Tamandua tetradactyla: one gene and its partners. The main gene of each other region encodes a partner of the protein of the gene in region 4 in a complex. Links are inferred from orthologs where the notes say so. Each region holds a gene or a part of one and is shown on either strand. Other genes may lie near its edges. The genes, in order: RXRA, MED24, RARB and MED1.

The links.
Region 1: the proteins of MED1 (region 4) and RXRA are in contact, whole or in part, in a crystal structure (PDB 1XDK), measured with the Mus musculus proteins. The link is inferred for Tamandua tetradactyla from reciprocal best matches to the Homo sapiens genes MED1 and RXRA. Residues at the interface, in NP_001073587.1 of Mus musculus: Asn641, His642, Pro643, Met644, Leu645, Met646, Leu648, Leu649, Lys650, Asp651; in NP_035435.1 of Mus musculus: Phe282, Val285, Lys289, Phe294, Leu299, Gln302, Val303, Leu306, Arg307, Thr454, Phe455, Glu458, Met459, Glu461, Ala462, Pro463.
Region 2: the proteins of MED1 (region 4) and MED24 are in contact, whole or in part, in a cryo-EM structure (PDB 8T9D), measured with the Homo sapiens proteins. The link is inferred for Tamandua tetradactyla from reciprocal best matches to the Homo sapiens genes MED1 and MED24. Residues at the interface, in NP_004765.2 of Homo sapiens: Phe375, Asn377, Gly436, Leu437, Gln439, Glu441, Ser453, Asn459, Asp460, Ser461, Leu462, Val463, Cys464, Tyr480, Lys481, Gly482, Asp485; in NP_055630.2 of Homo sapiens: Lys7, Ile10, Trp14, Lys15, Arg17, Leu47, Ala50, Met51, Ile52, Gly53, Pro54.
Region 3: the proteins of MED1 (region 4) and RARB are in contact, whole or in part, in a crystal structure (PDB 1XDK), measured with the Mus musculus proteins. The link is inferred for Tamandua tetradactyla from reciprocal best matches to the Homo sapiens genes MED1 and RARB. Residues at the interface, in NP_001073587.1 of Mus musculus: His642, Pro643, Met644, Leu645, Met646, Leu648, Leu649, Lys650, Asp651; in NP_001276689.1 of Mus musculus: Ile264, Val267, Lys271, Phe276, Ile281, Gln284, Ile285, Leu288, Lys289, Pro435, Leu436, Glu439, Met440.

What each region holds. Positions count from the first base shown.
Region 1 is NC_135328.1:13,494,749-13,501,933, reverse strand, and holds the start of RXRA (retinoic acid receptor RXR-alpha), read right to left. Parts: upstream 3,017-7,185; 5' UTR 325-3,016; coding exon 189-324; exon of another isoform or gene 184-188; intron 1-183. UniProt on the Homo sapiens protein: Receptor for retinoic acid that acts as a transcription factor.
Region 2 is NC_135332.1:27,219,891-27,226,889, reverse strand, and holds the start of MED24 (mediator of RNA polymerase II transcription subunit 24), read right to left. Parts: upstream 3,023-6,999; 5' UTR 2,959-3,022; intron 2,946-2,958; exon of another isoform or gene 2,855-2,945; intron 2,599-2,854; 5' UTR 2,518-2,598; coding exon 2,388-2,517; intron 2,304-2,387; coding exon 2,221-2,303; intron 1-2,220. UniProt on the Homo sapiens protein: Component of the Mediator complex, a coactivator involved in the regulated transcription of nearly all RNA polymerase II-dependent genes.
Region 3 is NC_135341.1:62,707,069-62,714,105, reverse strand, and holds the start of RARB (retinoic acid receptor beta), read left to right. Parts: upstream 1-4,030; 5' UTR 4,031-4,738; coding exon 4,739-4,895; intron 4,896-7,037. UniProt on the Homo sapiens protein: Receptor for retinoic acid. Retinoic acid receptors bind as heterodimers to their target response elements in response to their ligands, all-trans or 9-cis retinoic acid, and regulate gene expression in various biological processes.
Region 4 is NC_135332.1:27,776,006-27,783,026, reverse strand, and holds the start of MED1 (mediator of RNA polymerase II transcription subunit 1), read right to left. Parts: upstream 3,001-7,021; 5' UTR 2,770-3,000; coding exon 2,745-2,769; intron 972-2,744; coding exon 865-971; intron 467-864; exon of another isoform or gene 1-466. UniProt on the Homo sapiens protein: Component of the Mediator complex, a coactivator involved in the regulated transcription of nearly all RNA polymerase II-dependent genes.

The DNA of each region.
Region 1 (7,185 bases), on a different chromosome or scaffold from region 4:
CACAGATGCCCCTGTGCAGGCGGCACAGGCCACGGTTCTTGGCACAGCACATGCTCAATCAAGTAGAGCTACCCTGGTCAGCACCATCCTTACCACGACTGCCATCCTAGCCCAGGCTAAACTTGCCACAGACCACAGGCTAGAACCCACGTCTCCTCCCACCCTGCCCCCGGCAGTCTGTACCTTACCAGAGCGCCACATCCACCTCCCCAGGCCAGGTCTCCCGGCGACCACCTCTCTGTGCTGCCCCCAGCTCTGCGGCGCCTTGCTGTGCGGCCCAGGCCAAGCCCCTTGCCCTCTCTGGGCACCTACTTCCTCCTCCATAAGAGACGGCCCGGGGCCCCTCCCCTGCTGACAGGCGACAGGCAGACGCCACAGCTGGGTGAGGTCTGACCACAAGGGTTCGTAGAATCCCAGGCCCCGCCTGGCAGGGCATCGGGCTGGGGTCGGGTCGGCTCCTGCGCCCCTCCCCAGCCTCCCGCACTGCCCCTTTGCCGACAGAGCAGGATTTCAGAACTGTCAACCATCTCCATGCCCAGCCCACAAAGGCCCCTAAGGGATCAGAGAGGCTGGGAGACAGGCTTAGGTCACAGAGCACAGAACAGCAGACAGAATCCACCCTGAGTGCATAACGCTCCACTGTGTCCTCTCTTCCCATGTCCGAGACAGAATTCAGAGAGTAGGACTGCACTGTCCAGCAGTAGACCCTGCCTGTCAGCCGTGTGTCCCCAGGCTGGTCACTCAGTCTCTCTGCACCTCCATCTCCTCCCCTGAACAGCAGACCCAAGAACACCCACCCAGGTTAGGGGAGGGCCCCAGTGTATCCCCTAGAGCCACTATCTGGAACAAGGGACCACAACTGTACTTCACCCCCACAGCAGCCACTCTCCCTGCCCACTCACAGGCCAGGCCCACTGCAGCCAAAGGGACAGAGATGCTCACTGGGGCTGCCCGAGGCTCCCCAGGTCCCACCTCAAGAAGGGTGGCCAGCCCAGCAAAGGGCCTATAGGTCCAGTTCAGGGCAGCCAAGGTCAGACCCCAGGCTGGCCCTCAGACAGGGCAGGGTGCTGGGCACAGGGCCACTGCCCTTCCCATGTCAGCCAGACACCCCACCCACCTCTTCCCCTCTTCTCTTCCTCGTGGGAGGAGAAAAAGAGGACAGAAACACCTGCGTTCAAATCCCGCCCCTCCACTCCAAGGCAAGCAACTGAGCCTCAGTCTCCCCCACTGTCAAATGGGGACGTTATAAGATGACATGGACCCGGAGTGATGTCACCTTGCCAAACGTCATGCCCTCCGCCTGTGTGCTCAGCAGCCGTGAGGGAGGGGTGACCTCCTCTCACTCACCCGATGAGGAAACGGAGTCCCAGGGAGGGAAGTGGGTGCCTGGACCCCACGAGGGCCGCCTGACACCCGGTCCTGTGACCGGAAGACAGGATGTTGGGAAACCTGCGAGCTCTTATTTCAACACCATGGGCTGCGTCAGGGACCGGTTTTGACATGCAGCAGCTCCTGGGAAAGGGCCACTGCCACCTCCCCTGCCAGCTGCCATGGGAAGGGTGAGGCTGGCCCTGGTATGGCACCTCCCAGCTCCCTGCTGCCCACGGCTCGGGGATGGACCCCCGTCCTTGAGGATGGGCACAGGCGAGGGCAGGTTCCTCACAGGTACAAAGGCAGCACCCAGAGTCCATCTGCAATACCAGGGCTGGGCCTACCAGCCAAGGGAGCCTGGGAGCCAGGGTGAGCAGCAGCCATGAACCAGGCGTGAGAGTCCTGCATGGGAAGTTCTGCAAGGAGCCCACGCCTCCATGTCAGCACGTGGGACAGGAACGAGGCGGCAAGGCCTGGGTCACCTCGCTGTCCCCAGCCACCTGGTCAGGCAGGAAGGCGCAGTCTTGACCACAGCACAGAGGCAGCCAGCAGGCCCAGGGGCTGCTCCAGGGCTCTGGAACTCTGTCTCCATTTGTCTGTCTGTCTTTACTTCTGCCTGACTGTCTCACACACATGTGTGCAGGCATGAAAATGTTCACACACCCATGTGTACCTGTCGAATGCAGGACGACACCACCGGCTTCTTAGTGAAAGCAGGACAGCCAGCTCCTCGGAGCCCTCTGCCACCTGAGCCCCACAGGTCCCCAAAGTGGGGACAGCAAGAAGGATATTCTCACTGCAGCCTGGCTGCCCTTCTTCCATTAGACCAGTACCTTTCCCTGGGCACCTGGCTAAGTTCTCCCACAGCTCAGCCAGGCACCAGCAGAGCCCTGATGGCACAGGGTGGACTCTGCCAGCAGGGAAAGCTACTCCAAGGGGATGGGGCTCAGAGACCCCCAAGCTGTTTACCGAGTGCCCTTTCGTGGGAATGAGCACCACGGGCCCTTTAGAGTGACAATGAAGTGATGATGGGGCTGCAGGTCCCTCACCAGCTTGGGGGAGATGGAGGGAAAAACAGCCTAAAGGTACGTGCTGCAGCCCCAGGACCGCTAGGCTTCAGTTGGGGACGCCTGTCCCCTGCTCCCGCGCCTACTGCAGCCAGGTTCCCAGCGGCCACAGGAGCCCAAGGCCTATCTGCAGCCTGGTGTCCCGGCCGAGCAGGTGGCACCAGAGAGGAAGGCACAGCTTCACCATGAGCCCAGCAGTGTTTGTCTGATGGCCGGTCACGTGGGGTAGGCAGGGACGTCCCAGGGCTGGAATGTCCAGAAGGCCACACTAACAAGTGTCATCAGCCGAATGAGGCCGTTCCTGCAGGGTCAGCACAAAGGCCTGGGAACCAGCTCTGGCTGCCCAGAATGGGCTGGATGGGGCCAGGAGCTGAGGCAGGTAAGGGAGGGGAGCCAGAGAGTGGATGTGGGTCCCCCATTCGTGTCTCCCACTGGAGGGACATGTGGGCACCAGGAATATGCGTGGGCCGGCTGTAGCTAGAAGGTGGCAGGCTTCAAAGGCCCCTCAAGGACAAGCCCCTAGAAGCCCCATGGGGGAGGGGTGTGCCCCTCCCCCTCCGCCACCAGGGTCTGCCCCTTCCCCAGACCTCTCACCCTTCCCCCAGCACGTTCAACCCTACCAGCTCCCCCCAGCCTACCCGCCCCTCCCCAGCCTCAAGCCCCACCCTGCTGGCCACAGGCCTGGCCTCCACAAACTCACTGGGGATGGAGCCGAGGGCAGGAGTGGCTGCGGGGGGTGTGCTGGGGAGGAGGCGGCTTCCGCTCCCCCAGGAGCCCGCCACTGCCGGCCCTCTGCCGCTGACACGGTGTTAACGCTTTCCAGATGGGGCCGCGAGGACAGAAGCAGCTCTGCGCCCTGCTGAGGAAGCTGGAAGGGGCTGAGATAGCCTGGAATTCCTGAGCCCATGCCAAGGCCCAGTGGACCTGGACCCAAGAGGGGGGGCCACGGCAGAGAGGAAAATGAGCCCTTCCCCCTGGAGGCCATGAGCACACCCCCCGGGGAGGCCACCCACCCAGCCAGTGGCTGTGCAGAGACGCCTCCCAGGCCCAGCCTCTCCTCCATGGCGCCAGCACAGCTGCAAGCACACCACCCCAAGGCCCTGCCACCCAGGGGGCTCCCAAGGGGGTCCTGGGAGCATCTCCCACAGCTGGGCCTGGCATGAGCCATGCCTAACAATGTCAACAGTATCCCCCAAAAGGGGTGGGGTGCAGATGGGCCATGGACACCCCCATGGTCCACGAAGGTTCTGGCAAAGCAGAATCTCCTAGAGCTCACTTCCCCAGGCAGCCCTCTCCAGCCAGGACGCCCTAGGTCAGGTTCAACCCAGGATAGAGGGGGGAAGGGGCATGAGAGTGGAGAGGGGGATGTCGGGTATTTCTTCCAGCTGATACGTCTCCTCGCCCCTGCAGGGAGTGTCTAATGACACCCCTTGACCTGCCTGGCCCAGCCCAGCCCCTCACAGCGTCCCCTGGTGAGGGCTCTACGGCCTGCAAGGGACAGCAAATTGGTCTCAAATGGGCCCTTCTCATGATGGCTGAGGGTGGCCCGGTGGCCCCAGTCCACACACCCGACCTGATCACTGGCTCCCATGCACAGTGCACTGGGGGGCCACCGAGGGGAAGGGGGTCTCGGCCGGCCCAGCCACGGCCCATGGGCCAGCCAAGGCCGCAAGAACACTCGGCCTTCCCCCAGGATGTGTCCTGCAAGCAGGTGGGTCTGCCAACTCCACCAGCCAAGGCAGGGGTCTGCTCTGTCCCTACACCCCACACCCAGACCCCAAATGTCTCCCTGGCCTGGGCTCCGACAGAGGGTACAGAGGGGACCTGGAGAGCATTCGGCCCAGGCGCAGCAGACTATGGGGGTGGGACCGCATCAGGTGCTCTCTGGAGGCCCCTGGTCAGTCCACCTTCTCAGTCCCCAGCGCTGCCCACGTTCGCCACCGAAGATTCCATTCTCTACCTTGGGAGATGCCCCCAGACGCGGGAGGCCTGCCCCTTCCTGGCTGGGGCAGTGTCCTCAAATGTATCAGGGAAGGTGGGTGGAAGAAGAGGCAGAGATTCAGGGTCCTGATGGAGGATGCTCAAAGGCTGGGACCCCAAGCCAGGGCCGGGGAGGCCCACCCAGCCTTGGACATCTCACCCCACACTCCTTCCTCCCACAACCCAACGTTGAGGCCCAGGTGTTCCCTGGCAGCTGCATGCCAGCATGGGGCAGGGTTGGACAAAGCTAGCCCCTCAAATTGTCTTCCCTAAACTCCCACTGTGCCATGGCTGCCACCCTCTGCCTGGCACAACCCAGCCTGAGCTGACCTACCTCTGTCCACAGCTACAGCACTTTCCACTTCAGGTGCCAGGACCAGGCAGCAGACCTGAGAGTCCAGAGGGGCTCCAGGCATTGGGGGAGGGGGTCCCACCAAAACCCTGACCTGACCTGTCCGAGCCATGCCCAGGAATGGTTGCCAGGCCACCTGCACAGCTGGGTGCCCAGGAAAGGGCTATTTCCGTTACCACCTTTTGAGGTGCTGACCCTATACCCCTCCTCAGGCCTGTCGGCTGGTCCATCCCAGCATGTGGGCACAGAGGTAGTGCTCCCTGAAGAGGCAGTGCTCCCTGAAGAGGCAGTGCTCCCTGAAGTGGCAGCAGCCCTGCGTCCACCTGACCACCACCCAAAAGCCCCAACTGTGAACACACACCTTGCCTTCCCATCGCTTCTGGACCATCTCCTTTAACGCCTGAACTTCACAGTCAGAGCAATTTTGACCTCAACAGTTCAAGTGAGATGCCTTAATTCACCTTCAGATTTAGGGAACAGAAAGAAACTGAGTGTTGGTGATCTGTGGCTCCAACAAAACCCCCTGCTCCCTTGAGGTAGGAGCCATTCTCCTCGAGGGTTGTTTTTCTTTTTCTAGCTGTAAAGTGCTCAGAGAAGCCTCTTATGTTTTCCAAATGGCTAAAACGGCGAGAGACACAAAACGTCGGGCGCCCCTGCCCTCAGACAGCACACAGGTGCCAACCCAACGTCCTCAGCGCTCACAGAAAAGCCTGCCTAGCACCCCTGCGGTGGGCTGCAAGTGCTACCCTGCTGCCTGTGGCATGAGGGCACCCCTGGACGCAGGTGGCTCAGGAAACCCCCTGAGTCCCTGACCACAGAGAAGGGCTCCCAGACCCTGGGTTGCGGGGGGGGGAAATGGGGCTCACCCCAGGGTGCTGACAGCCACTGGATGGGTCTGGGACCAGACGGGGATCCCCACTCTACATCAGCCCCCCTCCCCCATGGCCCTGCCACCCTCAGGCTTGGGTGCCCTCCCTCCAGCCACAGGCACAGCATTGGGCCCAGGACCACCCCCTCCCAGCCCAGGTGGAGGCTCCCAAGGACTCAGCCCTGCCCGGGGCAGCCCACATGCCCAGGGACCCCAAGACATGGACATTCCGGCCAACAGTCCTCTCTTAGCAGTCCCTATCCCCGATTTATCCTCCACCTAGGGAAGGGCCCATGGCCCACTCAATCCCACCCAGGGAGGAGGCGAATCACTGCAGTGCTGGCACTCACCTCTAGGGCACTGGACATAGAGCCAGTGCCACCAGCGTGGACCCACCCCGACCCATGATGCCACACCTTCAGAAAGGTAAACTGAGGCCCTGGGTGCAAACAGGGCTCACCCAGGACCTCAGAGCTGGGCACGATAAGCTGGGGTCCAACTGCAGGACATCTGCCAACACCACTGGGCGGAGGAGCCCGCAAGGCTCTGGCCACGGGGAAAGCCAGGCCCGTGACACATGGGGGTGGCTGCAGGGAAGGGACAGCTGCTCCCTCTCCAACCACAAGCAACATCTGCAGCCCACAGGGGCTCAGGCGGCCGGCCCTCCAAAGTGACGCACATGGGCCCAGCTCTGAGACCCCGGCCCGGCACAGGGCAGAGTTATCGCTGGGGCTCAGTTGGCCTCCTCTACGGTAAAACGGGCACCTCTCGGCAAGCAGAGACCATCCAATACACAGAAAACCCCAGCCCGCAGCCAGCATGAGCACTTGCTAATTATCCTGTACACCGTGCTTGCCTGGATCTGAACCCCCTCCCCAGTTGAGGGAGTCCCTCCCCAGCCCACCCAGATCACATCCCAAACCCCCTTCCAGAGCCAAGCCTTCTTTTCCAACAGGCCCCAGGGGGAACCCAGCAGGAGGGCCCAGGGGCCAGGCAGTGTGCTCCTGGAGACTTCAGGACAGGTAGGGTCAGACCACGCTGGGCGGGGTTCAGGGGGCAGGTAGCCTGGCATTGGGGAAGGGATACCTGCTGCCACCTCACCCATGCCTGGCTCCAGACCCCTTGCTCTCCTGGCTCCCAGCCCCAGATGATTCCTGGGCTTTGGGGATTTAGAGTAGAACCTGGGAGAGGGGCTCTTTCTCAGACAAGTTCCAGAGAATGCAATCCAGCCCTCCCACTTGGGGTCAGCCACCTCCCTGGGATGCAGGGCTGCCCACCCCTGCTCCTAGCCCCCTCAACCCCTGACACACAGTGCCTGCTCATGCAGTAATTAATTAGCTCAAGATTGCCAGGGAACAGCACTGAGCTCCGGCACCTGGGAGCCCAGGGCAGCCCCCTCCGAGACACCCAGCCGTCTTGGCCAGGCCTCCCATAGTGGGTCCATCAGACAGACAGTCAGGAGAAGGAGCCCCTGCTCAAATGCAGGTGCTGCTCTGGGCCTCAGTTTCCCCAGCTGTACTGTGAGATGAGTGGCTTTTGAATTCTAC
Region 2 (6,999 bases), about 560 kb from region 4:
CGTGTGTACTCTTAAAACCAGCAATTCTATTTCTATAATAAAAAAATATTCCAAGACAGGCAGAAAGGTGAATATAAAGATGTTCAGTATAGTGCTATTTATAACAATAGAAAATTAAAAACAATCTAAATGCCCATCATTGGGGAACTTGCTAAATCACAGTACAGATGGAACATCATGCAGCATTTTAAGAAGAATAAGGTAGTTGGATGTGCACTAACATGGAAATGCACTAACAAGTAGACATAATGCCAAGCGGGAAAAGGATATGCAAGAACTTTGTATTCAGCATAAAGAAAAAACTAAACTACTGACATACGCAACAATATAGATGAATCTCCCAACACATTAAGTGAATCTCCCAACACATTAAGTGAAAGAAGACAGAGTATTCACATTTCTATGAAATACAAATATAGGCCAACAATAATCTATGGTAACAGAAATCATTTAGTGGTTGTGGGAGAAAGTAATGGACTGAAAGGGACACAAGAAAACTTTTTAGGAGAATGGAAATATCCTAGGTCTTATTTTTAGATGTTGGTAACATGGGTATATACAATTTTTAAAACTCATCCAATTGATTTTACCACAATAACATAAAAAAACTCATCAAATTGAACATAAGATCTGTGTATTTTATTGTATGTTAATTTAAAAATGCAAATCTTACCACAATTCCACTTAAAACCCTTTACGTGATTACCCATTATCCTAGGATAAAGTACAAACTCCTTAGTATCATTCACCAAGTCCTTTTTGACCTAACTGCTATCTTTCTCTCCAAACCAGTCTCCTTCTTGAACTTGATATTCTGGCCTAGAAGTTCTGAAGGTATGGTCCAGGGACCCCCAGGGGTTTCCCAGACCCTTTCAGGGGGTCCTAAAGGTCAAAACCCTTTTTTAAAATACTACTAAGATGTTATTTGCCCTTTTAACTCGCATTCCCTCACAACTGTACGGTGGAGTTTACCAGAGACTCCATAACATATATTATATAACAAAATGTGTCAACAATTGGAATACCTCTACAACTCAGTAACCTGTACTTTCTAAATGACCAATTCATGATATTACAAAATCACACATGAGCAGAGGATAATTCAAAGTGAGGTGAAGGGAGGGAAGAGCCCAATGTATTTTAATGTAACAGTATAAAGTTCATTGGTATGGTTTCACATCACCTACTAAATCTTAGTGTAGCTTCAAAGAATATACAAGTTGTCCAAAAAGCTTGTTAAAATACTCCCTTTTCTAACTAAATACCTATAAGTGTGAGGCCATATTTTCTTCTATACATTAACTAAGCAGCATATCATGACAACTGAGGCAGATGTGAGAATCCAACTGTTTTCTGTTAAGCCAGACATTGAAGAGACTTGCAAAAATGCAAAAACGTAAAACAATACCACTCACCTCACTAACATTTTTTGTTTTGGAAAATATGGTTATTTTTTAAAAAGATGTTATTTATATTGTTATATTTATATTGACCTGTAATTAATTTATTTTGTTACTTTTAAATGAATTCATTTTTTTAAGTTTCTCAATTTTAATTTCAAAAATGGTAAATATGGATAGATACAATAAACATAAACAAAAATTCTGTGGTGGGTTTCAATAATTTTTAAGAACGTAAAGCAGCCCCAAAACTAAAAAGTTTGAGAACCAGGGCTCTAGCCAAACCATACCAAACTATTTTCTGTTCTTAAACAACATCATATGATTTTTGCCTCTCAGTCTTTGCATATGCTTTTCTCTCCCCTTTGCATAGCCTCCTCAGTATGCTTAACTCCTATTCAATATTCAGGTCTTGGTTTAAATACCCCCTCCTTCAGAAAGCCTTCCCTGATTGCTGAGATTGGATTAGGTGCCTTCCCACATACTCCCGCAGCACTTCTTTAATAAACTCATCCTGTGACTGACAGTATTTACTGGTCTATATAACCCACTAAACGTGTGCTGTGGGTTGAGATCCTTTATCAGGTCTTGTCACAACTAAATCCCCAAGGCCTATCCATTGTCCAGCACATTATTTATTGACAGAATAGTGAATGCAATATTCATAACAACTAGTGAAGTATTACTATTTTCACGAGAAAACTGAGACTCAGAAAAGTGATCTGTTCAGACAAATTCACCTAGAAATGTGAGCTGACCATGGTATTGCAAGTTTTTTACCTCCAATCTCCCACTCCTTGAAGTAGGTAAGGCAGTTTACCTGGGAACTGATGGCGTACTTCAGGTAGGACAGGATGAGAGGGTTGGGGGAAGGTCCAATCATAGCCTGCTCCAGCAGTGCTTCTGCAAGGGGAAAAACAAAGACTGAGTGGTTACAATTTTTCTGGGTTCATCCCACCCTTCCTTCCTTCATATTTCACTTCAGACCTGCCAGGTTGAGAATATCCCAGGTGGCTCCTTTGGGGAAGAATTTCTTCATGTTGATTGCCCATTGGTAGTCACTCCATCGCTCTTTCCAGGCTTGTAAAATGGCTTGCTTCAGATTCACCACCTTCATAACTTCACTCTGAAGAGGCGCGGCCGCTAGCGGCCCCCTCCGAAGTAGGATAAACCGAGCTACAGAACAAGAGACGAAGTTCTTGAGGAAAATGAAGGGGAGGGCAGAGTTAAACGAAATAGACAAGACCAGGAAGATAGAAGGGACAGCAGGACTAGAAGGATAAAAGCGAAGGAGACAAAGTAGGGATCCTGTTAGGCTCTTCCCTCCCAACCTAACCTTTCTTGGACTGAGGCACTAGGAGTCAATACAAGAAGTAAAGCCAGAGCAGTAAGGGGTTCGGCCAGTTCCGGTTGTTTTAATTATACCCTTAGCTCCGACTGCGACCGTCACTCACTAGTACACCCAAAAGAGACACTTCATATGCCCCATCTTCCCCAGCCCCGAAACTGTAATTCACTGTTTCCTTTTCATCCATTAACTCCCCCAATTTAAACCTACCGGACAAGCCAGTTCAGAGCCCACATCGCGCCATTTTGGCACATGTCAAAGAGCTCGTTTCTCATTTGCTGGGAATAACAAGTATGAGCCAACAGGAATGCAGCAAGCGAAAGGCCCGCCGCGACGTCTGCTGGGAATTGTAGTTCCCGGGACTGGGAAATTCTTTGTCCGGGCTAGAGATGAAGCTGAGGACTAATCTAAAAGGCCTGCTTTGTTTCTCGCCTTTGAAGGAGAACTTCTAAGCTGGGCATCACAGAAACGTGGAGGGTGGGAGGCTCTCGAAAACTTGCCAGCAGTCAGGCGTCGCCCAACGACGTCACTGTCGACAGGGTATTTAAATCAGATTCCGCCACCTTTTCATCCCCCACTGGTTCATAGGCATAGTGGAGGTGTTAGTGTTCAGCAATAGGTTCCAACGCTTTCCTTATCTTTTTTTTTCCCTCTAAGCTCCTGGGTTACCAAAGTTTTCTCGTTTTCACGCCTGTATCCCAGAAGCGACACTGAAGTTCTGCTAGTTGCACTAACATACCCATTTCACCCCCCAAATCTGAGAGTCTTCAGAATCTCCTAACCCTCTATCTATACCCCTTAAATATAGGGGGTAAAGAGGAAAGGAAGATGGAAACGGAGATTAAGGTTATCAAAAACTAGAATTTTGAGGAATTGTCACAGCCAAGAGGGCCTAAGTTGATATGACTACTAAATGCAATGTGGCATCTTGGTTGTGATTCCGGAAGAGAAAAAGGGCAGTAAGTAAAAACTGAGAAAATCTGAATAAATCATGGATTTTAGTTACAAATAATGGATCCATATTTGTTCATTAATTGTAACAAATGTACTATATTAATGTAAGACTCAATAAAAGGGGATATGGGTGTAGGTTATGTGGGAACCTGCTGTACTATTTTTGCAATCTCTATATAAATCTAAAACTATTCTAAAATTAAAAGTTAATTATTATTTTTTTTAATTTTGATATCTCACTTATCTTAAGGAGTACTATTGTAGATAATTATGTCCAGCCCTTCTTTCCCAGCAGTGGGAAGGCCAAAAGCAAATGCCACGCACCCTGTAAACAGCCTTCAGCCTTGCCTTATCCTATGGACAAGACTGTCCCTAACATCTCCAACTAGGAACTAGAGTAAACATGTAGACCCCCAGTCAGTGGTCTGTCACCCCTCTTTCCTGCCCACTATCCCATACCTTGAGGAGGCAATCATCCAAGCTCTATCCAAACTTCCCAACAGCCATCCTTTAGCTCCCCTTAGGCAAAAATCACTTCCCTGGAGGATGAATCTGGGGGAGCTCTTTCTTTGGCTGTCCATTCCTTCTCAGCTCTGATAGTGGCTGTGTTCTCACCTCTGCTTCCCTAGCCCTGAGCCCCAACTTCCTCATCTTGTTGGCTTGACTGGCGGGGGAATGGATCTGGCTGGAGAAGAGGGGACAGCAAGGCAGAATAACATGGCAACATCTGGAGCAATGGCAGAAAAGGAGCTTGATCAAAGTGGGGGTGGGATGGGGGAAAAGGCTGTGAGGCCCAGGGATTTGGGATATCCAAGGGAAAGGAAACACTTTAGGCTAGTAGAGAAAAGAACCAAGTGTCTAGCCCCAAAAGCCCAAGAAAGATTGAAATACTTGGCAAGCATACAAGGCACAGAGGGTTTCATTTACTTTCATTCCATCGGAAAACTGCCATTACCCTCCCCTAACAGGAACATCTTTCTTTAGAAGCTTGCCTGGGTCTCACCACTATAGGAAGTTAATTGGCAGCAGGTGGAGGGAAGAGAAAACGAGTCCATCCCACACACTTATATACACAGCTGGCTCCAAACCATTTTCCTTCCCCCATCAGTTCCCAAATCCAAATCACAGCTTTCCAGCTATCTGGGAGAAAAGATGAGGGTGGAGGGGCCTAAAAGGTGGCTCCATCTCAAGGACAGCCCCTGAATTCCCCACAATTCCCTGTCCCTGACTTCCCACAAGAAGTCCAGAAAGAGACTGGCCAGGACAGTGAAAGGCAGAATTTGAACTAATCATGAATTGTTTCCTCTCTAACACCCTGGAGGACACCTTCTCCCTCCACGCCCCCAGCACACAGGGGGAGAGTGATAGGGAAGGGGGGCCAGTCTGCTACTTTCTTTGCACCACCCCTCCCTCCAGGCCCTTGTAACTCTTCTTCTTAAACTCTGCCTCAACACCAAAGTGATTCATCTTCACCTTCAACTCTTGTAGCAGGGATGCAGACCCTGATGGAAATAGAGACCTCCCCGCCACTTCTTTCTTCTGCTGGCAAAGGGAAGGATAAGGGAGCTCTCTGGGAAAGCAAAAACAGAAGTTGGGAAAGTTTGGGGGATCCAATATCTGGAACATATTAAACACTCAAAAAATATGTTCAGTGAATGAATACAGGGGGATAAATCTGAAAGGCAGCCTTGAGAAATTATCTTCTTTTTCCACTTCTCACCTCAGCTAGGGAAAAAACAAGGCTCAGCAAGACCCAAATCCCTTCCCTGGGCACCTCTTCATGAGCCAGGACCAGGGTGCCTGATGGGACAAAGGTGATTGAAAGGGGGGAATTAAGTGTAAAGTTGTGACTTTCCTCTTGTCTGCGTGATTGCTTGCTAATTTCCCAGTCCTTCATCTTTGTTGGACCTTTGATTCTCAACTCCACATAACTGTTTCGACCTTTCCCTCTCCCTCTCCTCTCCATTTCCATCATCTCTTCTTGATTTGGAGAACACTAATGGAGAGAGACATCTGGGTTTGGGGTTCTCTTAGCTGATGGTGTCTCATTTCCAGAGCACCCCAATGAGTGGGGCTGTGTCTGTGGAGCCAAAGGGTATCTGCTGTACACCTCCTTACCACATGTTGACATCACCCAGAGCCTAAGAGGTTCAAGCGAGATGGGAAGGGGTGGAGGAGGGAAATCGCCAAGGCCAGGGCCACAGAGCTCGTTCCAGGGCTGACTGGCAGAGGGCCTGTCCCTGCTCCCCTAAACTGCTTGGGATGTGCAAGGCTTCTTGGCAGGGATGAGGACACTGTGTGCGGGCTTGGATGCCAGTTTTGGGGAGAAGCTTTGAGAAGGATATCTGGACCCCCTGGTTCCTAGGGGTGGGACCCTCAAGAAATCTTGGGGTGCTTCCTAGCAACAGCTGAAAGGAAGGGAGGGAGGAAAGAAGGGAGGAAGAGAGGGAGGAGTCTGGGCATGCTGTTTCAGTGGGAGCCCAGAGAACAGGCTGTTCCTGCTGCCTCCTTGGCAACCAAAATCTAAGAGGGAGGGGGCTGTCAGACAAATCCCCTTTGAGGGTCCCTATCTATTCTCACTCATTTTCCACCCTCCCTCTCTCCCCACAGACCCAGGGCTTGCTGTGAAGCGAAGTAGGGGGATGGGAGGGGATGGTGCCAATGGAGACCTGGTGTGAGGTTCATGGCCAGTAGAGAACAGGAGCTGGGACTGAACAGAATCTGAGAAGAGCTGGAAGCTTCAAGAAACTGGGAGTGGGTAAGAGAGTGGGGTTGGGAAGGGGGATAGTGCAACCAGGGGCAGGGGCTGTAAACCCAACCTGGGCTGGCTCCTGGCACCTGGCAAGATGCCTGCTTTGGAGGCAGTGTGTCCTTCACCTTGCCTTTGCCTAAGTCTGCCACCAGCCCATATTGGGAGCCAAGGAGAGAGAGAGAAGTAAGAAGAAAAGATGGGAATGGTGAGTTCTTTGTGTTTGAGTTCAAGATGCCCTACATTGCCCCTGAGATGGGGGGGGGGGGGCAAGGGGGAAAGGTAACTCAGGAATTGCTTCCTTTCTACAGCTCTGGCTCTAGGATTTAAAAATGTCTCCTTTACCCAACATCTTTAGGAACTGGCTCAAAGAGAGATGTGGTAAGCAAGCCAGGATGGAATAAAGACAAAGCCACAGCCCTTCTTCTTCTCCCTCTAGACCCCTTTATTCCACCCCTAAGCCCGATTACTGCTGGGGCCGCTTCACTGCCTCCTGGTCTGCCTGGTTCACTGCAGAGTATAAGTGTATCTCATGTGCTGGGATTCTC
Region 3 (7,037 bases), on a different chromosome or scaffold from region 4:
CCTACAGAAACTGTTGGGCTTGAAGGGGTGTCTTAGTGAATCCTGTACAGCAAAACGCATAGATGTGCTAAAGAGAACAAATATGGAAAGGAAGAGAAGCTTGCATCTTGTCCTAGAGGAACAATGTTTGTAAGTAATCAAGTGGGAGGACTTCAGAGAGGAAATTCTGAAGAAGCAGAGATCAGGAGAGAAAGCAAATGAAGGACATAGTCGCCAAGATTTAAGGAGGAGAGAGATGTTAGAAGAAGAACAAATGTTTCTTGGGGTCTGGAGGATACCCAGCCTCTACAATGATGCCTGGAGCCACCTTTCCAGTTCAAGTTTGGAAAGTGTTTTCTCTCTTCTGGTGTGAGATCCATGAACATCAACAGCCTGTTACATTGGCAGGTGTTCAGTTCAAAGCGCCAGAAGCAAAGTTTCCATGCCTTGAAGAGTGTTAGAACTTCTCACAGCTACTGACAAAAACATCTCTGCCTGGCATCAGCACACTTGCCTTGAGCTGGGCAAAACATTCTTCCTGTCTTCACTTTTCTTCTGAAATACAAACATCACTCAGAACTAGCCATTTATTCTTTTGTCAGAACTGCGCTAAGAAGGGTTTATAGGGGAATTAACTGTAAACAAAGCAAAGCAAAACAGAAACATGAAAGAGGTAGGTGCGCCTTATAAAAATGATTAGCGCTCACCTCTCCCCACCCCTCCTCTGTGTGTGTCTACTTTGTATGCCATGTGCCTGGGTCAGGTATGTCTGTGCCAGCGAGAACCTTATTATTTAAACATCACAAGGCATTTGACCAATTTTGAACACAGCCGGCTACAATGCTGTTGTACACTGAAGCCTGCTCTTTCTTCACAAAACTCTCTAGTTCAAACGTGTTTGCAGAGCATGATTCATGGTGTTTCTTTCTGGATTGTCCAGTGCGTAATTGCTGTACGAAAACCAGAGAAACAGATGTAGACCCTGAACCCTGGCTATAAATTTTTGTTTTATGATTATGGGTTTCAAATGTGCTGTGTCACCCTGACAAATATACAGTTACTACGAAACAAAATGGATTTCACTCTCAAACTTTTGCTTTTTTGTTTGTTTATGGTTAGAAATACTTTCAGTAGAGTTTCTATTATCATTGATCAAACACAATGACACATATCAGAATGTTGTTTTATGAGGAACCAAACAAAAAAAGAATATTTCTTTCAACTTTTTGTCTAATATTTAAAATGGATGTCAATAACTTCATTGTCAACAAATTAACTGGGCCACTTTCCACCTTTTAATACTCATTAAACTTTCTAGTACATGGATACATATTTAAACAATTGTGGCTTATTCTTGGGACTTTCCTTAATTCCGCTTAAGATGAAGAATTCGGAGAAAATCAAGTTTTTAAGGATTGTAAGAATTAGATTTACTGCTTGAGGTAATGATAGATAACAGGTGGCTCAAATGTGGGGTTGCTTTACTAAATTAATACTTGGATTAAGTAATAGCTGTAACAATTGCTATCAGTTTAATTAATTCATGGTGAGAAATGATGAATTGATTGGTGAACATCATTGCATTAAAAGAAACCCATAACATTCTATTCACAAGGATTTAAATGCAGACCGTTCATTTCAAGGCCCCAGTGTTTCTCACACATTCAGAGAACTCTAAGGTGATTATAAATTTTAAACTCTCTTGTGCAGAAAAAGAAAAAACCTAGTCTCCCATCCCCTGCTTCAGACACATTGTGTATTACACAATGACACAGTATTGGGAGAAGAAATATGGGTGTAGGCAGTCTCCCTTCCTAGATGAGGCTGATTCTCTAGCCTAAAACATTGAGAGTGGAACAGAACTTGGGGGACACTCATTGCCATCTTTACTTCCCTGAGGAAAGACGAATGCCCCCCTCTTTTTCGGAAAGACGCTCAGCAAGGAAGTTCCGTGGCTCCCCTGTCTAACAGACACTTGTACCACACACCTTTCAGTGGTGTCTTGTTTCTCATCTCCAACTCAAGTTCTTACTGCTGCATTTTAACTGTAGCTGCGTACTCTCTTCTAACGACATTTCACCCACCTCCATTACTGAACCCAGTTTCCAAGGAACTCTAAGGACCTTCAATAAGCATTTGGAGCTGTTAGCCTCTTGGACCAAATAGAAAGCGGCACATAATGTGGTGCTTTGTGTATCTTTACAACTATCTTAATGACAGTGTGTTAAATGTTTTGTAAATACCTCTGGGCTCCCTTGCTTAAAATGTATGTTTTCTTTGTAGTTAAAGGGTATCTCATAATAAGCTCTGTTACAAAATGATGGCCGTATTAAAAAAAGAAAAGAGAGAAAGAGAAACACATAGTTTCAGCAAAATTTCACCCTTTTATTGCCTGGACTTTTCAATAGCAAGAACTGAGCTTGCTGGGCTGAAAATTGTTTCAATGTACCTTCATAAAAGGATCTCTGACTTAGTAAATGCGCGATGCATACTTTTCATATTACACCACTAGTGCCACTTAGCAACTCTGCTAGACAGCAGAGTTTCAGCATGGGGCGGGGTGCCCCCTGACAGTCTTTTAAAAGGCCTAGATGCCAGTGCACATTCCAGCATGATCCACAAAAAGGAGACAGGAGCAGCATGCTTCCCTGCAAGGGACAAGGAGGCTCTCCCTACCTGCCCACCCTGTTTTGTGGGTGAATTATAAGAAATTCTGGAAAGGAAGGAGAGGTAGCAGGTTGTTTTAATTCCTCTCTCGAGTTTCCTTTCTTTGGTGTGCGTTGCATCCTTTCAGCAAGTTGTGCAAAATAGCTGCAGGTTGGATTAGCTCTCCCTTTTAAAGCTCTCTGTTTGCCTGTTTATTTGTAAATAGTGCATCTGTCCTTCTAGGTGTTTTTAGGCTAAGAAGTGTCTCTTCTCTGTAGGTTGGGCTAGTAGGAAAGGGATTTTTTTTTAGGTTATTCTCTCCTAAAACTACTGTATTTTAGTAAATAGCCAGGATTGTGTTAGGGACTGGTATTTAACAGTCATTTGGTGAAAACTGTCCCTTGGAAACATTAAGCCCTCACACTTAACCAGTTTTCAAAATAGGTGTGTATGTGGTATGTGTGATGATGAGAAGGAGCAATCCAATGGCTATTCATCATGCAAGGATGTGGCAACTGCAAAGTAATTTCAGTACTGGTGAGTTGGGTTCTAGTGGTGGGGGTTTGAGCTGTGTGACCTCAGGCAGGTCTCAGCCTGGCTGAGCTTCTGTTTTCCCAGTTGCAAAATAAGAGGCTAGGTCATAGCTAAGATTTCTTCCAGGAAGCGTACTGAGCACCACACAGGCATTATTTCTTTTTATCCTCCCAGCAACTCACTGGATGAATAGTAGTTTATCCTCATTTTACAGTTGAAAAAACAGACCAAGAGAGGTTAAATAGTTGTCCCTAATCACACAGCTGATAACCAGTAGAGCTGGAATTACAATCCTATTCGGTGCGACTCCCAAGCCCACGCTCTGGACCAGTCCGTTTTCCCGGATCAGGATCTAAAATCCTACATATCTAAGTGGGTGTGTTTTGTGTGTCTAGGCAGGGGTAAACTAATTCTTGACGACTCCATATGCCGTATCATAGACTTGACAGGTTTTGAAGAGTCAATGAATCCAGAAGGCTGGCTAACTCCAGCGCAAGTGCGATCCCTTCGGCCAGGGCTTTTGCAAGGGGGATAAAGAGCAAAAGACTATCGAATGGAAAGTTTCTCAACCCGAGGTTTCCCCGGGGGTAGCTGTTCTCTGCTCTACAATTTAGGGCTTGCATCTGCTTTTTCGGGAGTGGAAAAACATAAGTTACAAGGAATCTAACAGACCGAGAGGCGCTTACAGGAATGTAAAGGGTGGGCTGGCGGCGAGGGGGTGGGCGGGAGGCATGCGGGCAAGGGAGGGGTGGGGACACTCGCTTCCAAGCTAAGCCGCTGTCCTTAATAAAAAAAAAGGCGTAAAGGGAGAGAAGTTGGCGCTCGACGTGAGTCCCGAGCCGCGTCCTGGCTCCTCCCCTGGCTCGTTTTAAAAAACACTTCTTGCATTGTTTTTAAGGTGAGAAATGGGAGCGAGCGAGCCGACGTGTGCGCCCGCCGCCTGCGTCTCGGGCTGTCTGCTTTGCAGGGCTGCTGGGAGTTTTTAAGCTCTGTGAGAATCCTGGGAGTTGGTGATGTCAGACTAGTTGGGTCATTTGAAGGTTAGCAGCCCGGGAAGGGTTCACTGAAAGTTCACTCGCATATATTAGGCAATTCAATCTTTCATTCTGTGTGACAGAAGTAGTAGGAAGTGAGCTGTTCAGAGGCAGGAGGGTCTATTCTTTGCCAAAGGGGGGATCAGAATTCCCCCAGCCGAGCTGTTTGAGGACCGGGATGCCGAGGACGCGAGCGATCCGGCCGGGGTTTGTCTGGGCACGGTCGGGGTAGGATCCGGAACGCATTCGGAAGGCTTTTTGCAGGCATTTGCTTGGAAGGAGAACTTGGGATCTTTCTGGGAACCCCCCGCCCCGGCTGGATTGGCCGACCAAGCCTGGAAAATGGTAAATGATCATTTGGATCAATTACAGGCTTTTAGCTGGCTTGTCTGTCATAATTCATGATTCGGGGCTGGGAAAAAGACCAACAGCCTACGTGCCAAAAAAGGGGCAGAGTTTGATGGAGTTGGGTGGACTTTTCTATGCCATTTGCCTCCGCACCTAGAGGATAAGCACTTTTGCAGACATTCGGTGCAGGGGAGATCATGTTTGACTGTATGGATGTTCTGTCAGTGAGTCCTGGGCAAATCCTGGATTTCTACACTGCGAGTCCGTCTTCCTGCATGCTCCAGGAGAAAGCTCTCAAAGCATGCTTCAGTGGATTGACCCAAACCGAGTGGCAGCATCGGCACACTGCTCAATGTAGGTTTATTTTTTTCCCTTCTTATACCAAGAAAAAAAAATTAATTGTCTCTCTTGCATGCAATAAAGACATTGGAAATAAACTGCATCGGTCGCAAGACAAAGGGTTTAATGATTTAATGCTGCAGGGGTGTGATATGCTGGTGTGCATATTGATTCCCTCTGCTGAAAATTTCCTGTTACATGTTTTCTGCCCAAACAACCCCTCACCCGCCCTTGTTCTTCTCCTTACCAGCCTTACATTTTTGTTTTTGTTTTGTTTTGTTACAGTTTTAAAAATAGGCAGGGGTGGGGCGCAAGTAGAGGGTGACCACAGGACTTTGAAACATTCTTCAAGTAGGGCAGTTGGACACAGTGTGCAGTTTTTACTGCACAGTGTGCAGAGGGGAATTTAACTTTGCTGTTCTTTGGCTTCGCTATTAGTTGTATATTTTTACCCCCCGTGTGGATTTCAACAGTCCAAAGTAATTAAAATATGACATCTTCTCTGCAAGAAATTTAGCCTAATTAAGGTGGCTGCTGCTCCTGAAGTTCATAAACCACCAGTTAAAGCAGCTACCTTCAGTGTTTTCCTTACTAAGGAAAGGCAATATTTCTTACCATTGACCCCGCTGCCACCTTTCCAAGTCACTTTGTTGCTCTAAGAAGTTGCTGTTTTGCTAGAAAACTACTGGCAATGAACACCCCTTGGGCTGAGCCATCCATTATTTCCATATCTTGCGATTCAGCCGGGGACCTAGACTTCGGTTGCAGGAAAGGACATCTAAGTGTGGTAGCCCGGTTTTTAAAAAAAATATTGACTGTTTGGTTATCTGATGCTGACAGGGTGCCGAAGCATGCATCTGGTCAACAGTAGTCTGGCCGCAGGCTTGAGAAATGACCAGAAGTCCCAGAAAATCCCACCTTCGAGTGGCTGGAGTTGGAGCCTGCAGGATGCTTCGCTGCCCTGACAGTGATTTAGATAAATGGCTCGGCTATCTATCAAAATGTTTTTAGTACTTTATTTGACAATTCATTGGAGCATTAGCCTGAAAATGACATTTTAAATCTTTGTTTTCAAAGAGGTCAAAGTTTAACTGGAAAAAATTGAGTTTTCCTAATAACTTAGGTGGCTTATCTAAAGAGAAAGAAGAAAAAAAGGAGAGTGGGAACAATGATAAGATTTAAATTGCCCTCTCTGAAACTTTTTCTTTTAAGAATAAAGCCTTGCTTCTTGGGCCAGGAAATCAACAGGTTTGTAGCTGAAAAATCAATAATCTTTTGATGTCAACAGTTAGGCTGTCTGATTTAACATTTCAGAGAGCCAAAAGTAGGGCAAAAAGATTATTGTTTCAGTAGGCATCTTAATCTTTCGCTGCTCCCCAAATGTCTTTTTTTCCTGCTGCCTATTTTCTTTCTGGAGAACTCAAACTGAGTGTTACAAAATAATTTCCCATCCCACTAGCAGATCTTTTAGACTTGTAGCAATTAAAACAGCACGAAGGAGGTCATCTGGAATCCTAGTGAACTGGGTCTCTCTGAAACTTTTTCTTGTGAGAGAAAGTTCTAGTGGAGCATAATTTTTAGCAGAAAGGAAAAAAAATTGCTCAGGATCCTGGCGGAAAGTTAATAAACCTAATAGAACTTTTTTTCCCTAACATGTAGACATTCCCTCTTTTGTAATTAACCCTCCAAACATGCCTATTAAGTCGTAGGAGCTGGGGAAAAAAGCTTTGTTTATTCTTGAACAAGTTAAACAAGGGATTTGCCTTATCTGGGGAGAAAGAGTGGTGAATGTGTCATTTGCCTAGGGCTAGCCGATAAGCAAGAAGTGTTGATAACAGCAAAGTTGAGCTAATCAAAGAACTTGCTTTAGAAAAAGTAAATATAGGCATTTGACAAAGGGATTTCAGAAATTCCAGTGTCTTATTTTTGTAAGCAGGGCAATTAGTGCTTATTGTGGTCAGTTTCAGAAGGGTTTGAATCCCACGTCCAAACTTGAGGTAAAATGAATAAAATGTAAATATTGCTTGTGCTCCTGCAGAGTTGCTTTATCCTCCATAAACCGCGTTATAACTGGCCACTTTAGTTGTTCAAGCGATTAAATTTGTGAACATAATTGAAAGCTTAAAAAAAAAATGCTAACAAATATCTGCCACGCAA
Region 4 (7,021 bases):
AGACATCAAATACAGGTCTTCTGACAGCAAATTCATTACTTCTGCTAATGCTATGCCACTAACATGCTCATTTTAAATGTTAATATATCTATCAAACTGAACAACATAAGAAATGGTGAGGTGACGGGGCAATTTCATTGAAATATAACATGGATAGAAAAGTACATGAATCACATGAACCATCTCCATAAATTATCACAAAGTGAACACACCCATACAACCACAGCCCAAGTCAAAAAACAAGTTTTCCTACATCACTGCATATTTTGACTACTACTGGAATCAAATGCATGGCCTTTAACATCCAGCTCTGAGACTGACCCTGTCTTCCACATTACTGGTTAAGGGCTTCCTGTACTGGTGGTTGATTCAGGGGAATGAAATGCAGTACTGTTGAGAAAGAATTTGACAGACTGGACAGGTGTAAACCCAGAGTTCACCTTTATTAAGAATGAACCACACACACACACACACACACACACAAAAGAATGAACCACAACCTCTACTAACAACATAGACACTGTGAAAGTAATGTTACATTAGAATCAAGGAGCTTGAGAGGAATTGAAGAATAAGTTATCTTTTTAAACCAGTGTATGAAACATGACCCTCATGGGTACATTTCTTAGCACCTCTGCCTAAAGTATCCCAGTACTATAACTCACCATGAAGAGTATTTTAAAAAAAAACCTGCTTCCCAGGTAGAGTCTAAAATTGAGAGCCACCAATGTACTCAGGTGTTTTATGTTAAATAAAATTGAAGACACACTATAATAACTAATTTGAACAAGTCCACATGGGGAGCCAATCTTATTAAATAATTCTCGAAATGCAACACTTAACCAATTTTACCACAATCCTCACCATGACTTGACGCACAAGTTTAATGGTTTCACTCCAAGGTCTATTTTGGTTAAATTTTGCATGGAGGCGTTCCAAAAGAGAACTCATCTTACTCAGCTTTTCCGACTCTACAATATAAATCAGAAAACATCATTAGACACTCTTTTATCAAGACTTTGCAGCTTTTCTTGCAAGAAAACTCCATACTTCATCCTGGTAAGAACACATTTTAAATATTTTTCATCATTTACTTCAAAACAGAGAGAAAATATTTTTAATAACAGGAAAACACACATATTATGGATCTAACCTAAGGAACACCATAGAACAGGATTGCTTTCTATTCAAACTTTACATGGGAACCAAAAGAAGAGTCATCTCTAATCATGTTTCAGGATCTATCCTACAATTTAGCAACAGGCTCATTTCATGGTATGCATGAAATCCCTGGAATGATAAATGTAGAGCATACATTTGAACACGGCTTTTGCTATGGCTAGTTGCTATTCAATGTGAAAATACTAACTTCCTTAATTTTCTGCATAATTTTGAGACATCAGTTTGTAGGTGTAATCAAGAAAACAGGCTTTATTAGCCATTCAGATATTTCTTATTTCTTTTTAATTTCAACTAAAATTACATCAATAGGGAAGAGATCAATGATCAGAGGATGAGTTTCCAGCACAAGAGAAAGTAAACAGGAGTGTCTCCTGGAATAAGTGCGTGTTCCTCTGCCCTTCAACCATTCTCTAGTTCTTGAGCTGCCTCTTCTGAGCAAGGAGCTGTGCCAGAGACCCCTGCAGTTGTAAAAAACACACAAAATCCCCAAGATAAAAATATATGAGGCGGTGTGGATAAATTAACGTGGAAGTGACCATCACATAAAGCAAAGTGAGATATGCTCTTAAAAACAGGACACATTACTATTGAATACAAAGGAAGAAAAGTTCACCATTGGTTGAGGGGATGTTACAGAAAAGGTGGCAGCTGATGTTGGTATTAAATGATGAGTAGAATGTTCTCAATTAGAGTTAAGGCAATGGGAAAAGATCTTCTAAATCAAGACTCACACTCCTTCCAATGCCCTCTCATCTTCTGGAAAACTGGCTCTTGGGCTGTTTCAGTCAATTTATAATTCTGAACACATTTTTGTCAAAGCCTACTTTCAAGCTTCTTTCTTTCAATCACTATTTTAGGTGCAAACTAGGCAAAACTCCTGCCTCACAGTTTCCATTTCACACCTGTCATTCCTCTGCACCCAAGGAGCAATACTTTTCTTTCTTCAAAAACACACCCCTCTTTTGCTTTGAAAAGCCTAATAATTAACTTTATTGAATGCATAAATCAACAAAAAATTTTTGAGCAACTGTTATGTGCCAGGGACTACACAAAGATGAGTAAGGCAGGGCCTCTGATCTACAAAGTTCAAAATAAAGTAGAGAACATAAGCAAATACTGTGAGCTGGCCGAACTGCAAAGACAGCATTTGAACTGGAGTGCAGATATTTAGAAGGTCTGAGTAAAGTAGCACAGAAAAGTTGTTCCTCAACATTTCTGTGTTAGTCTGGCCAATGAAAGGATGAAATTCAAAGCACTTAAAAAAACATATACTAGCATAGGATCTGACATTCTAGGGAAATGCCAATTTAGGCTAAAAACTGCCCTTGAGGCCCAGCTGATTGCCCCAGCTGAGCACGGAAACTCAACAGAAGTTGGGAGCCCCATTACCCAAAGTCAGATCTCCACCATTATCTGCAAAAGGAGAGTCTAAAACTCACACACATCCCGCCTCCGGGACTCTGAGGAGTGACCCCCGCAAAACATCGGCCCCTAGCCCCTCACACAGGCAAGTCCTTCCTGTTGTGTCCCATCCCTTCCTTTTCTCACCCTCAGTCACTCACCCTCGGTTTCCCCCTGAGCCTTCATCCTGGCGGCGGAGAGGGCCTGAGTCCGCCGCACGAGCAAATACGCTCTTCCCCACTACTAAGAGGGAAACCGAGTTGGCTCGGGCTTCCGGGACGTAGGGCACCAGCAGACCCCACTCCTCCCGGGAAAGCTCAATCCGAAGTCCCCGGCGGCAAGAAGAGAAGGGTGCTCGCGGCCGCCGCCATCTTCCCCAACGGAACTTCCCAAAGATCGCGAGACTAACCGGGATCCTGAGAGAGAGCGAGACAGAGAGACAGAGAAAGAGAGGGGGCGGGGCATAAAAAATCTCGCGAACTTGTTTTATGCTCATTTCTCGCGAGATTTCTTCCAATCCAGCCTTCCCTTTGCTCTAGAGTGTCAGACCTCACGTGGCTCGGTGTTGAGTTTGAGAGCGGGCAATCTTAAACTGCTTTGAGAAAACTGGCTTTTTCTATTTTGGCTCTTAAGCAGTTCGCAAATTTAAAATTCCGGCTTTCTTTACTGAAAGAAAGGAAAGATTACTATTAAAGATGATAACGTTTTCCCCAATATTCTAAATGGAAAATTATGTCAAAAAATATGCTTGTGCTTTGTAGCACAAAGTTCGAAACTAGCCCAACTAAATAACCATTTACCAATTTTTTTAAATTTCAGAAATGTTTCTTGAGCAATTAGAATATATTTGAAGATCTAGGAGATTTCAGGTTAAGGTAAATTTATTTGCAGGAATCAAAGTATCTTATGTTGTTATTTGTATGTAGAGATCTAAAGTGTTCACGGTTGATGTTGTCCTCTTGTGGTCATCGTGAAGACATAAGCACTTAACACTGTAGATATTATTAAATATCTGTATATTTATTAATATACTGTATATTATTAAATCCTTACAAAGAGAAGTTCGGAATAATGCTGCATTCATGACCACTAGAACTGAAAACCCAAGCTAAGCTAGCATTGGGGGAAAGTTCTTAATACAGTTAAAGCTATTTTTTAATGGTTTTTTTTCCATATACTGGTCATTGGAAATAAAATTACCGCTGAAAAGTTGGATTTTACCTAGTTTGCTACAGAATATTAAGCAATGGATCTCTACTGGCTCAGTAGTCTCAGGCTTTTCTCATATTTCAAAAGTGCTATTCACACATCTTCCAAAACCATCCCAGCTAGTACTGCAGTTCAGATTAGCAGTAAAAACAAGTCTTTGGAACTGTCTTAGAACATGTGTATCGTCACATGTATATGTCTAACTATGCTCCGTGAAAGTAGAGTTCAAATTTTCTTTCTTGTCTATTCCTTTTATCTTCATGCCTTTGAGTCATCACAGAGTGAGTTTCTTAGGGCAGGAATTGCCCCATTTCTGAACCCCCACTGCAAGCACTGTACTTGGACCTAGTAGACTGTACTTGGACCTTTCACTATGCCTACAAAGCCGTGCTAGACTCAGCTCTTCTCCCCTTGCCAACGCCAGATCACACTGGCCTTTTACTTCCAGAAGGAAAATTCCTGCTCTCCTTCCCCCAAGGCCCTCCTCTAACAAGTCCGTTCTAACTTCTGAGAGTCCCTCTCCACCCCAAACATTTCACCTCATTCAGGCCTCATTCAGATCTTAATTTGAATGTCTCTTCCTCTAGACAGAAGAAACAAATCTTCTCCGACCCCTGACTTCCATCAGGTATTCTAATTCAAACTTTTCTTTAATAGTACTTTCACCATCAAAATTAATTAATTGGGCTCAGGGTAGGCGATGGCTGAGTCACGAAGGTGCGAGAGGCGCCGTGTGGTGGAGGCGATCGGCGATTTGGTCGGTGTGCGCACTGGCTGTGGGCATTGCTCCGGGTCCTGCGCGGACTGCTTTCCGGGTGAGTGTACTCGGTACAGCGTTTCCTGCGCGACTGCAACTCGGGCCTTTGGCCTGACCCAGCTTTAGAAGAGCTACAAAAAGACCTGGAAGAGGTGAAGGTATTGCTGGAAGAGGCCACTAGAAAAAGAATACGTGATGCACTTACAGCTGAAAAATCCAAGATTTAGATGAAAATCAAGAACAAGATGCAGCAGAAATCACAGGGGAAAGCAGTACCTCTTGAAAATGAAAAGCCGGCGGCTGTGGTTGGTCCGGTTACAACAGGATACACAGTGAAAATAAGTAATTATGGATTGGATCAGTCAGATAAGTTTGTGAAAATCCACATTACCTTAAGTGGAGTTCATCAGGTCCCCACTGATAATGTGCAGATGCATTTCACAGAGAGGTCTTTTGATCTTCTGGTGAAGAATCTAAATGGGAAGAATTATTCCATGATTGTGAACGACCTCTTGAAACCCATCTCTATGGAAGGCAGTTCAAAAAAAAAGTCAAGACTGATACAGTTCTTATCTTATGTAGAAAGAAAGCAGGAAACACACGGTGGGACTACCTGACTCAGGTTGAAGAAGAATGCAAAGATAAAGAAAAGCCCACCTATGACATTGAAACAGGTCCTGGTGAGGGATTGATGAATGTTCTAAAGAAAATTTATGAAGATGGAGATGATGATATGATGTGAACAATTAATAAAGCATGGGTAGAATCAAGAGAGAAGCAAGCCAAAGGAGACGCAGAATTTTGAGACTTCAAGGTTCTTTTGGGAACTGCGATGTGGAAATAGGATAGTTCCAATAAGAGAATGTTGGGGAGCTGCACAGATACAATTTGAGAGCTAATTACTTATATAGCCATCCTGCAAGTAAAGCAATGAATCATCTCCTACTGGAGGATTTATTTAAATAAAATGTGCTTATTATACACTTCATCCAAAAATGGTTTCCTTAGTACACCTGGTCATTTTGTTCAACAAAGGATTATGTTGCGTTATTGCTTGAATTATTAAAAAGCAAGTCTTGTCTAATAAAAATACCACATGTGTTTTTGTTTAGGTAAATGGTAGAAAGCAAAAGTATTTACTTACCTTTAAGTTACTGACATCAACTCCCATCAATGTAAGAATAAGAGTATAACCTGAGCTTCTATATAAAATGTAAATTTGTACCTGTGCTTGAAGATTGCAGTAAAGAGCTTGGCCTTTATCTCTTAGCAGATTAAGCAGTGCATATATCACGCATCAGCTCGCACTTATAATCCAGTCATAAATGCATCTCTCTAGATTTAAATATATTTCTGAATATAGACTTGAAGCTAAATCTTAACTTGACCAGAATAGACAAGCCTCTTTGCATAGTACCAATTAGTATTTTCATGGATCAACTAGTTTACAAAAAGCAATATTCATAAAGCAAAAATGATTTGAAAATTCATCTATTACTGTGTTCAATAAAGTTGGATTTTTGTGCAGTAAAAAATAATAATAATAATTAATTGACTGTATAATGACTGGTTACATGCTGCCTTCTCTAGACAAGTGAGCGCCAGGGAGCTACACTGGGTCTGTTTCATTCACTGCTGTCTCCCCGGGGCTTAGCACTACTCCTGCACGTGTCAAGGACTCAATGCATGTTTCTGGAACAAATTAATAGGGTTCCCCAATAAAATGCAGGATGCTAAATTAAATTTTAAATTCAATAAGTAATGAGTACGTTTTAACATAAAAGTATTTCCCAAATATAACATAAGAGAAATGTTATGTAAATCTGGCAACCCTAAAATTGATGAAGGACAAAGAGCTTCTGTCCAAATGAGAATTTTGAAGATGGTTCATATTTAGAATGTTGTAATCTTTCCTGTTGTCAAAAAAATGCTCTTCATTTAACAAGTATCTACAGAGTTCTAATATGTGTGTTTTAGGAGCTGGTAATATAAAGATGAAAACCCAGCCTCAACTCTTGATAGACTCCTCGATTTAGGTTTTGATTATATGGTTGGCCACTGTAATCATGGATGCTCAAAAAATCTTTGTTAATTATTATACTCAAACTATCAATGTTAGGTACACGGCTGCATTTTCTTCTGTAAAATCTATGCAAGTAAGGTATAATGTCTGTCCTAAATGTAGCTAGGACATTTTAAGCCTTATAAAGCTTATTAATTTTGGTCATAGAACAGAGTATGTTATACCTTCTCATATGTAAGTGCAGATAAAAGGACACAATTGAAAAAATTGTACCCTAGAAAGATCAGAGAGACATGACAATAAACAAGAAGAGCATTGGAGGTACACATGGGAGCAATCTTCATAAATATGGCTATGGGCAAATTTCACTCAAATTACTAAGCTTTGGGGAAGGCTCCAGAGGACTCTTTAAATCTAAAATCTAAACTAATAGATTGGGTTTGTGAAAA